2 linked regions of the Macaca mulatta genome follow. The protein of the gene in region 1 purifies or fractionates together with the protein of each later gene. This does not show direct contact. Links are inferred from orthologs where the notes say so. Each region holds a gene or a part of one and is shown on either strand. Other genes may lie near its edges.

Evidence for each region.
Region 2: the proteins of BSG (region 1) and GNPAT purify together in Homo sapiens (affinity purification with mass spectrometry; 3 studies listed by BioGRID and IntAct, counting the BioPlex papers as one, with this or other methods). This does not show direct contact. The link is inferred for Macaca mulatta from reciprocal best matches to the Homo sapiens genes BSG and GNPAT.

Annotation. Positions count from the first base shown.
Region 1 is NC_133424.1:1,211,995-1,216,469, reverse strand, and holds the start of BSG (basigin), read right to left. Parts: upstream 2,918-4,475; 5' UTR 2,879-2,917; coding exon 2,812-2,878; intron 1-2,811.
Region 2 is NC_133406.1:17,786,732-17,791,156, forward strand, and holds the start of GNPAT (dihydroxyacetone phosphate acyltransferase), read right to left. Parts: upstream 2,972-4,425; 5' UTR 2,867-2,971; coding exon 2,789-2,866; intron 1-2,788. Other genes in the region: C1H1orf131 (40S small subunit processome assembly factor 1), read left to right, coding at 3,104-3,221. UniProt on the Homo sapiens protein: Dihydroxyacetonephosphate acyltransferase catalyzing the first step in the biosynthesis of plasmalogens, a subset of phospholipids that differ from other glycerolipids by having an alkyl chain attached through a vinyl ether linkage at the sn-1 position of the glycerol backbone, and which unique physical properties have an impact on various aspects of cell signaling and membrane biology.

The sequences.
Region 1 (4,475 bases):
ACAGACCCACTTCTCACCACACACACACACACAGACACACACAGACCCACTTCTCACCACACACACACACACACACACACACAGACCCACTTCTCATCACACACACACACACACGACCCACTTCTCACCACACACACACACACACAGACCCACTTCTCACCACACACACACACAGACCCACTTCTCACCACACACACACACACAGACACACACAGACCCACTTCTCACCACACACACACACACACAGACCCACTTCTCACCACACACACACACACACACACACAGACCCACTTCTCACCACACACACGCACGCACACACACACACGGCTGCACAGCAGCGCTGCCACACTGCGGACTCCACATGCAGCTCTGGCCAGTAAGCCCCGGGCTAAGCTTTCTGCTGAGGAGAAACGCTTCTCAGTCCCCTGCACAAGAGGAACAAAACCGTGACCCGCGCTACCCGGCAGGGATGGACCAAAGGTCTTTCACCCACTGGGCTGTCCAAATTAGCTCAATGTGGGAGCCTCGTGCTGGGCTTGAAACCCAGTCAAGCCTGGCTGGCTCCCACCACTGAGGCTGTTTCCACAGGGCTGAGGCGGTGGCTTATCTCACACATTCACCTCGCCCGGGGGCTCTTATTTGTGTCTCCCCCACAGAGCTGGTCCAGTGCTGGAGCCAGGTCCTTGCCCAGGAGACATTCGATAAAGGGCCACTTCGGTTACCAGGAAGAGAAATCTCAGACGTGGGTCAGGAGTTAGCTGGCAAAGCCTCTGGAAGAAGGAGCTCCCTCCTCAGCCTCTGCCCAAGGCCCCCTATGGCTCAATGCCCAGGAGAGAGGCTCCAAGCCCTTGCTCTTGACCCTTCAGGAGCCCAGACCCTCCAGCTCTACACCTTGTTCCCAACGCATCAGTCACTATAATTTTTTTTTGTCTGAGACGGAGTCTCGCTCTGTCGCCCAGGCTGGAGGGCAGCGGCGCCATCTCGGCTCGCTGCAAGCTCTGCCTCCCAGGTTCACACCATTCTCCTGCCTCAGCCTCCCTAGAAGCTGGGACTACAGGCACCTGCCACCACACCCAGTTAAGTTTTTGAATTTTTAGTAGAGGCGGGGTTTCACCGTATTAGCCAGGATGGTCTTGATCTCCTGACCTCGTGATCCGCCTGACTCAGCCTCCCAAAGTGCTGGGATTACAGGCGTGAGACACCGCGCCCAGCCTTTTTTTTTTTTTTTTTTTTTTTTTAAAAAAAGACAAGAGTCTCCCTCTGTTACCCAGGCTGGAGTGCAGTGGCCCAATATCGGCTCACTGCAACCTTCACCTCCTGGGTTCAAGCGATTCTCTTGCCTCAGCTTCCCGAGTGGCTGGGATTACAGGCGTGCGCCACCACGCCCAGCTAATTTTTGTGTTTTTAGTAGAGATGGGGTTTCACTATGTTGGCCAGGCTGGTCTTGAACTCCTGACCTCAGGTGATCCACCCACCTCAGCCTCCCAAAGTGCTGGGATTAAGCCTCACTATAAATATTTAATCCAGAACCAAATGGGGGTCTCAATAAAGGAAGAAATTTTCTATCCAGCAAGAAAGGCTGTCATGCTTTTCTCCCGGAAAAACACACCTCAATCCATTTCCCAAATGCACTCTCCAAACCGCGTCTGCCCACCCCCACACGGCCCCTCCTAAGACAGCACTGGAAACCTAATGCCCGGTCAGAGTCTGCTAAAAACGACTTTCTCACTATTTCCTGCGCTGAATGGGGTGGCCAAGGCCCCTCATTGTGACCTTGGAACCTCGACTCCCCACAGGGCTCAGCTTCCTTGCCTGTAAAGGAGAAGGGGCGTTCAGAGACCACCACATTCTGTGCCCTGAAGCAAGGCAGAATCAGAGAGAAGGCTGGCGCCACTCCAGGGACATTCTGCCTTCTCTTCCAGGCAGGGCGCCTCGAGGGAGCCTGCGAGGGCTTAAGAGTCTGGGAGAACACCCGGGGGCAGGTGCACGCCCGAGGCAAGACGCCAGGGCTAAATCCCCCGAAGAACGGTAATCCCTTCCCGATCCGGAAGGCTGACCCACTCGGAGCCTCCGTGTGCGCCTGGAGGACAAAAGCCCCTTTTCCAGGAGAGAGCGCCAAGACGATCGCCCCGGCAGCGCGGGGCCTGGCGGGGACCCCAGACACTCCGGGCAGGGTCTGTGACCCTAACACGCGCAGGCAGGGTGGGCCCGTCTCCAGGCTCCACCCTCAGGCCGTTCTCCCCCGACCTGCGGAGTCCAGTCCCAGCAGGACAGGTCGGGCAGGCACCAGCCCAGCCCCTGCCCCGACTCCAGGCCAAAGGGGACGCTCACCCAGGCTCTGGGTCTCCCTTCTCCTGGCCGGAGGGACGGGCGGGCGGGCCACCTCCAGCCGCCTTCGCAGACGCCCTCGCCCAGAGATCAGGCGAGAGCCTCCACCTCTGCCGGGGAACCCCCAACCCCAGGCCACCGAAAAGCAGGACGCCCACCTCCCCCGACCGAGACCGGCCTGGCCAGGACCCCCAGGCTCCCGCCCCCAAGCAGGGGCTTCACGCCCACACAGAGGGTGCGACGCCCGGGGGAGCCTGGCAGGCAGCGCCGGGAGGGACCCCCAGCCCCCCTCAAACCCTGGGAATTCACCCCCAAGCTCCAGGCTGGCGCGGGAAACCCCCGGGGCCGGCCTTTCGCACCCCAGGCGGCCCCTCGCCGAGGCCCCACGCTCCCGTTGGCTTCCGGTCCGGACCGCAGCCTGGGCCGCGGCCTCCATTCCCGGCCCCTGCAGGACCGCACCCCCGCCCCCGGCCCGCTCCTCACCAGCCCCGTAGGCTCCGTGGGCGCCCAGCAGCGCCAAACCCAGCAGCACGAACAGCGTAGCCGCCATGATGTCTCCTCCTCGCCGGCCCCGCAGCCGCCAACCGCCGCCGGAGCCGCCCGCGGCCGCTATAAAAACCGGCGGGGGCGCGGACCGGGCGCGCGCACGCACGGCGTCATCGCGGGGGCGGGGCGCGCGCGGGGCACGCCGGTCGCCCCCGCCTGCGCATGCGCACACACGCACGCACGCACGCGCCGGCTCCGGCAGGCTCCCGCTACGGAAGCCGGGCGGCGGCGCACGTGACAGGGCGTTGCTAGGAAACGGGAGCGCGGCCCGCGGGGACGCGGCTGGAGCCTGCGCATTTCTTCCTCCGGCTTTCAAAGCTGGAATGAGCGCGGAGCGGTGCGGCCGACGGGGTTGAAACATTCCGAGGGTATTACCCAGATTTGATCAGAGTGAAACACGGGCCGGCCGCTGTGGCTCACGTCTGTAATCCCAGAGCCTTGGGCGGCCCAGGCGGGAGGATCGCTTAAGCCTGGGAGCTCGAGACCAGCCGCGGCAACATGGCGAGACCCACCTCTCTGCCTTTAAAAATGTACATATCTATGTGAACAGATTAATAAATTAGGCGGGAGGAAGCGACCTCCTCCGCCCCAAGTAAAAATACTTCAAAGGCACTGGAATCTGGATCTCAGAAAATGAATGATGTCTCAGTATAAACGTCCTGTTCGCCATTTGGTTGGGAAAACTGAGTTAAGAAACTCAACTTCCAGGTCAAAAGTTGTAAATCAGCCCTACCCTCTTCTTCCCCGGCCCCCTTGTTCTCTCGCAGGGGGCGCGTTTACCCTGTTTTTAAAAAGTTCTGAGTCTCAGCCAACCGGGGTCCGCTTAGATGGCGGCAGAGGCCAGAAGCCCCGACAGGGGCAGGACAGAGGCCAGAAGCCCTGCCTTTGTCGCGTGTGCTCCGGCGGCTGCACCCCGCACAAGTAAAGGGGTCTCCGAGACGTTTCCGAAGTGCAGTTTCTCTCTGCGGGGCCGGCTCGCCGCCCCCAAACTTCCCATTTGGATCCCATTCTCTTTCGGGACAGGCAGGCGGTCACCTTTTTGGGGAGACGCGTCCCACTGCTTCACTGGGGGCCCTCAGGAGCGGAGGATCGGGTCCCGCCCGAGGTGATGAGTGAACCCGGACTCTCAGCAACGCGGGTGGGAAGGACCCGGGAAGTTCCGGGGCGGCCAAGGTGAGACAAGGCAACATTGTGGCGACCGAGGTGGGGGTGAGACAAGGCAACATTGGGGCGACCGAGGTGGGGGTGAGACAAGGCAACATTGGGGCGACCGAGGTGGGGGTGACACAAGGCAACATTGGGGGACCGAGGTGGGGGTGAGACAAGGCAACATTGGGGGACCGAGGTGGGGGTGAGACAAGGCAACATTGGGGCGACCGAGGTGGGGGTGAGAAAACTCAATATTGGGGCGATAGAGGTAGGGGGTGAGAAAACTCAATATCGGGGCGACAGATGAGGGGTGAGACAAGTGGCTATTGGGGCAACAGAGGTGGGGGGTGAGAAAAGTCAATATTGGGGCGACCGAGGTGGGGGGTGAGACAAGTCGCTATTAGGGCGACAGAGATGGGGGTGAGAAAAGTCAATATTGGGGCGACCGAGGT
Region 2 (4,425 bases), on another chromosome or scaffold:
TACCTATACAGATAATCACACCAGAAACCTAGTAGTCTTCTCAGACTTTCAAAAATATAAATGTACTTTGGGAGGCCAAGGCAGGTGGATCACTTGAGGCCATGAGTGCGAGACCAGCCTGGCCAACATGGTGAAACCCCTTCTTTACTAAAAATACAAAAATTAGCCGGGTGTGGTGGCAGGCAGCTGTAATCCCAGCTACTTGGGATGCTGAGGCAGGATAATCTCTTGAACCCTGGAGGTGAAGGCTGCAGTGAGCCAAGATCGTGCCATTACACTCCAGCCTGGGTGACAGAGTGAGACACCATCTCAAAAAAAAAAAAAAAACCCACATATTTATTTTTACGTATACATATATGTGTATACACACACACGCACACACACACACACATACATAAGATTAAGATCACCCATAAAGTTATGATTTTATCCCTAAGGATATGTAAACACGACACATAAAATTTCTTTAGGAAATATCATCTGCCTACTTCCTTACTTTGTTTCTCACGTCTCCTTTCTTCCACCCAAACCTAACTAACTAATTCTAACCCCAAATATGCAAGGGAATAGTTTTCTTACATCAATGTCTAGGACAGTTTTCCTCTCCCTCATCTGCCATTCACAGCTCAAAAACTCAGCTCAGGCCAGGCACAGTGGCTCATGCCTGTAATTCCAGCACTTTGGGAAGTAAGTAGATCACTTGGAGGTCAGGAGTTCGAGCCCAGCCTGGCCGACACAGTGGGTCCTTGTCTTTACTAAAAATACAAACATTAGCAGGGCGTGGTGGCATGTGCCTAAAATCCCAGCTACTCGGGAGGCTAAGGCAGGAGAATTGCTTGAGCCCTGGAGACGAAGGTTGCAGTGAACCAGGATCAAGCCACTGTTCTCCAGCCTGGCAACAGAGCAAGAGGGTCTCACAAAAAAAAAAAAAAAAAAAAAAGGAAGATCAGCTCAGATGTCACCTTTTCTTAGAAACCTTCTCCAAGTACCCAAACTGGTCAGGTGCCCCTTCTTGTCACTCCCACAACACGCTATGCATGCTGCAATCATTGCCCTTATCCTACTTAACTGTAATTACTTGTTTACTTTTATGACTTCTTGTGCCCTTAAAGGCAGAGCCTGGATCTGTAACTTCTATATCTCAGAAACTGAGAATAATGAGTAGGATACTGTATATATTCCTAATGTTTGCTGCAATCAGCAGTATCTTGTATGTTTCTAAAATGCTACTTTTAGATCAGAGTATTACACAGTAACAGTGTAGCTGGGGAAATAAAAACAGCCTGAAGTACTAAGAGAAAGTAAGGTTACCATGGAAGTAAAGGTTATCCAGTCACAAAACAGTAGCAAGAACTAGAGGGTTGCTGTCCAGCATCAGAACTACAGAATGCTCAGATCCAACTGCCATAGTTTTTCACATGAAAAAGTGGACTCAAGTCTTATTAAAGAATCGTTGGTGAAGGGGGAAGTAAAAAAAAAAAAAAAAAAAAACCAACTCCTTCCTTTAACGTACAAAATGAAAATTCCAGCCAATTCACAAACCAGTTGAGAGCTTAAAAAGCTACATGTTAAAAGCTGGATCTGCATAGCAACCCTCTTCTCTTCATGCCTGCTCTGGAGTAGCAGTCAGAAAACAAAGTTGATATCCACCACAGAACTGTGGAGAAGATCAATGTAGAGAGAGATTTAAATAATAAGCCTTATAGGCAGTTAGCTATCAGAAACCGAAAGGTCTTGATAGAGAGGGAACAGAAGTTTCTCCATGTTCCAAAGAATATTGGTGTCTCAATTTGAAGGAAGCCATATTCTCTTTCGAAACTGGGATGTTTATCTTGCTCTGTCGTGTTAACCCTGTTTTGACCTTTCTGCACAAATGAACACTACATTTAAGCCCAAACCGGACACTAATCACCAGGACATGCTAATATGCTTTTAAAATGAATTATTTTATTTCCTCCTAAAGTAGCTAAAGACCAATTTAGTGGTTAAAAACAACAAAAAACAAACAAAAACCAAATCAGTTGCCCCAGGACTGTGCAATCCTGAAGGCTATAAAAAAGGCTATAAAACTTCCATCTCATAATTTCTTCATGAAAATCGTGGGTGACCAACATCTGCCAGCAAAAAAGACCGGTTAAAACCAAGAGAGGAAGAGGGGGTTGGGGGGAAAAAAGGCAAGCGGGAGAGAAGCTGGGTGGCGCTGGCGGTCCTCCAAAATGATTTGTGAAAAAGGTACAATAATGACTGGAAGACAAAAACAGGCAATAAAAATGTCTAGAAGTTCTAAATTTTCCTACATTAAAGTGTTTAAAACTCTATCCCCACATACAAGCCAAGTGCTTTACTCCCAGGAATATAACAGCAGCAAAGAACGGGGTGCGGAGCCACAGGCTATCTCAGGGCGGGTCAGACCCGCAGGTTTCTCAGGTTTACCCAAAAGGTAGCTGGACACGCCCTCGCTAGAGATGGGGAGACTCCAATTCTCATCCCTCATTCCCGTGTCCAGGAGCTTTCTGAAGGCCCAGGGCCTGATAGAAAGAAAGAGAAGGAACAAGTGGAAAGGAACCAAAGGAACCATAATCGGTAGAAACTTCCAAAAGCATGCACACACAGACACACAACGATACACTGTTGTCCTGGAAACCAACCCAACCAACTAACCCCTCCTCGGGAGCCTAGGGGGCCAGCTCTTTTGGGCAAGGGTCTTGGGCCGGAGGAATAGGGAGTGGGAGAAAGGGGTACTATCTCGCGCAGCTCCGCTCTGGGCCTCTTTTCCCTGGGCGCCTACCGAGTAGAGGAGCACGACAGCGCTGGGACTGGTTGGACCAACGGAGAAATAAGAGTTAGATGAACTGGGAGACTCCATGGTGCGGCTGCCGTCCCGGGCGGGGTCTAGGATTCTTTGCTAAGCAGTGGTGGTGCTGCTGCTGGGGGCGGTTCTTTCGCGCAGGACGGCCCTACTTCGCCTAGGGCGGCGGCACCCTCTGCAGCCGCACCACAGGACCCCGGGCGCCGCCATCTCAGCCAGGACGGAAGCCGCGCAGGGCCCTATGGCGCATGCGCGCAGTCGCGGAACCCGGAAGCGGGGACGCCGCGCGGCAGAATGAGGTTTGATTCCTCGGTTGATCCCACAATGTCGCAGGAGCAAGGCCCGGGGTCCTCCACACTTCCCAGTTCTCCGACACTTCTTGACGCTCTGCTCCAGAACCTTTACGACTTCGGTGAGTGCGGGGTCCCAGGAGCCCACGTGGAGAGCAGATCTGAGGAACGTGGTTCTCCTGTGCGGCCTGTGCTGGATTGGCCTCTGCTTTGAGGCTAAAGGTTCTTGCATGTCAAGCACCCGTAACTTCGTCCCACCTGGTTCCAGTAGCGGATGCAGAACACATTTCTCCATCGGAAGTCACCCCTTGACCGGGCTCTGTCGAGTTATTCATCAGACCTTCCAACTCGTCCCCAAGTGTGGGGACCGTCGTACTTTCTTGTAGGAAGCACCAAGGCTTTCCGATTTAACGCGGGCAGTGCGCACAGGACCTTGGACTCTCGAAGTAGCCCACTTTTCCACGTTTTCTTGAGCTCTGGGAAGTCCCCTTTCCCCATGCCACCCCCAAGACCTGCCTGACCTTGGTGCGATAGTGTCATTTCGCCCTGGGGCCTCGGGCCTGTTGGATAATTCACCAGCTTCATCCTTGTGTGTCCCTCGCCAGAGACATAGCCCTTGGCGAGTTGTCCTTTTCCAACTTTTTTTTTTTTTTTTTTTTTTTTTTTGAGTCTCGCTCTGTCGCCCAGGCTGGAGTGCAGTGGCGCGATCTCGGCTCACTGCAAGCTCCGCCTCCCGAGTTTACGCCATTCTCCTGCCTCAGCCTCCGAGTAACTGAGACTACAGGCGCGCACCACCACGCCCGGCTAATTTTTTGTATTTTCAGTAGAGATAGGGTTTCCGCCGTGTTAGCCAGGATGGTCTCGATCTCCTGACCTTGTGATCCGCCCATCTCCACCGACCAAAGTGCTCACAGTCGTGAGCCACCGCGCCCGGCCTTTTTTTTTTTTTTAAACAAGTGCGCCAACCTTTTACTCTCCATTCTTGATCTTGATGGGGGAAAAGGAAAATAAAAGAGCCCATTAAAGTCGCATGGCGTGTCAGTAGGAACACAGTGCCTCATACTCTGAAGAGCTTGCCCGGAAGAAGGTGACACCCTTTGCACATGCACTAAGGAAAATCATTAGATTTCAGGACAACACACATTTCTTAAATTTACAGCGTGATATTTTAAAAGCTATTTTTATTTTGGTACGACTGCTCAAAATTTTAAGCTCACCTAAACAGTAGGAATGATAATTAAAAGTATTGAGAACTTGCCATATACCACATGCTTTTCATGTATTTGCTAATTTAATTTTTAACTTCATGAAATAGACACTGTCATA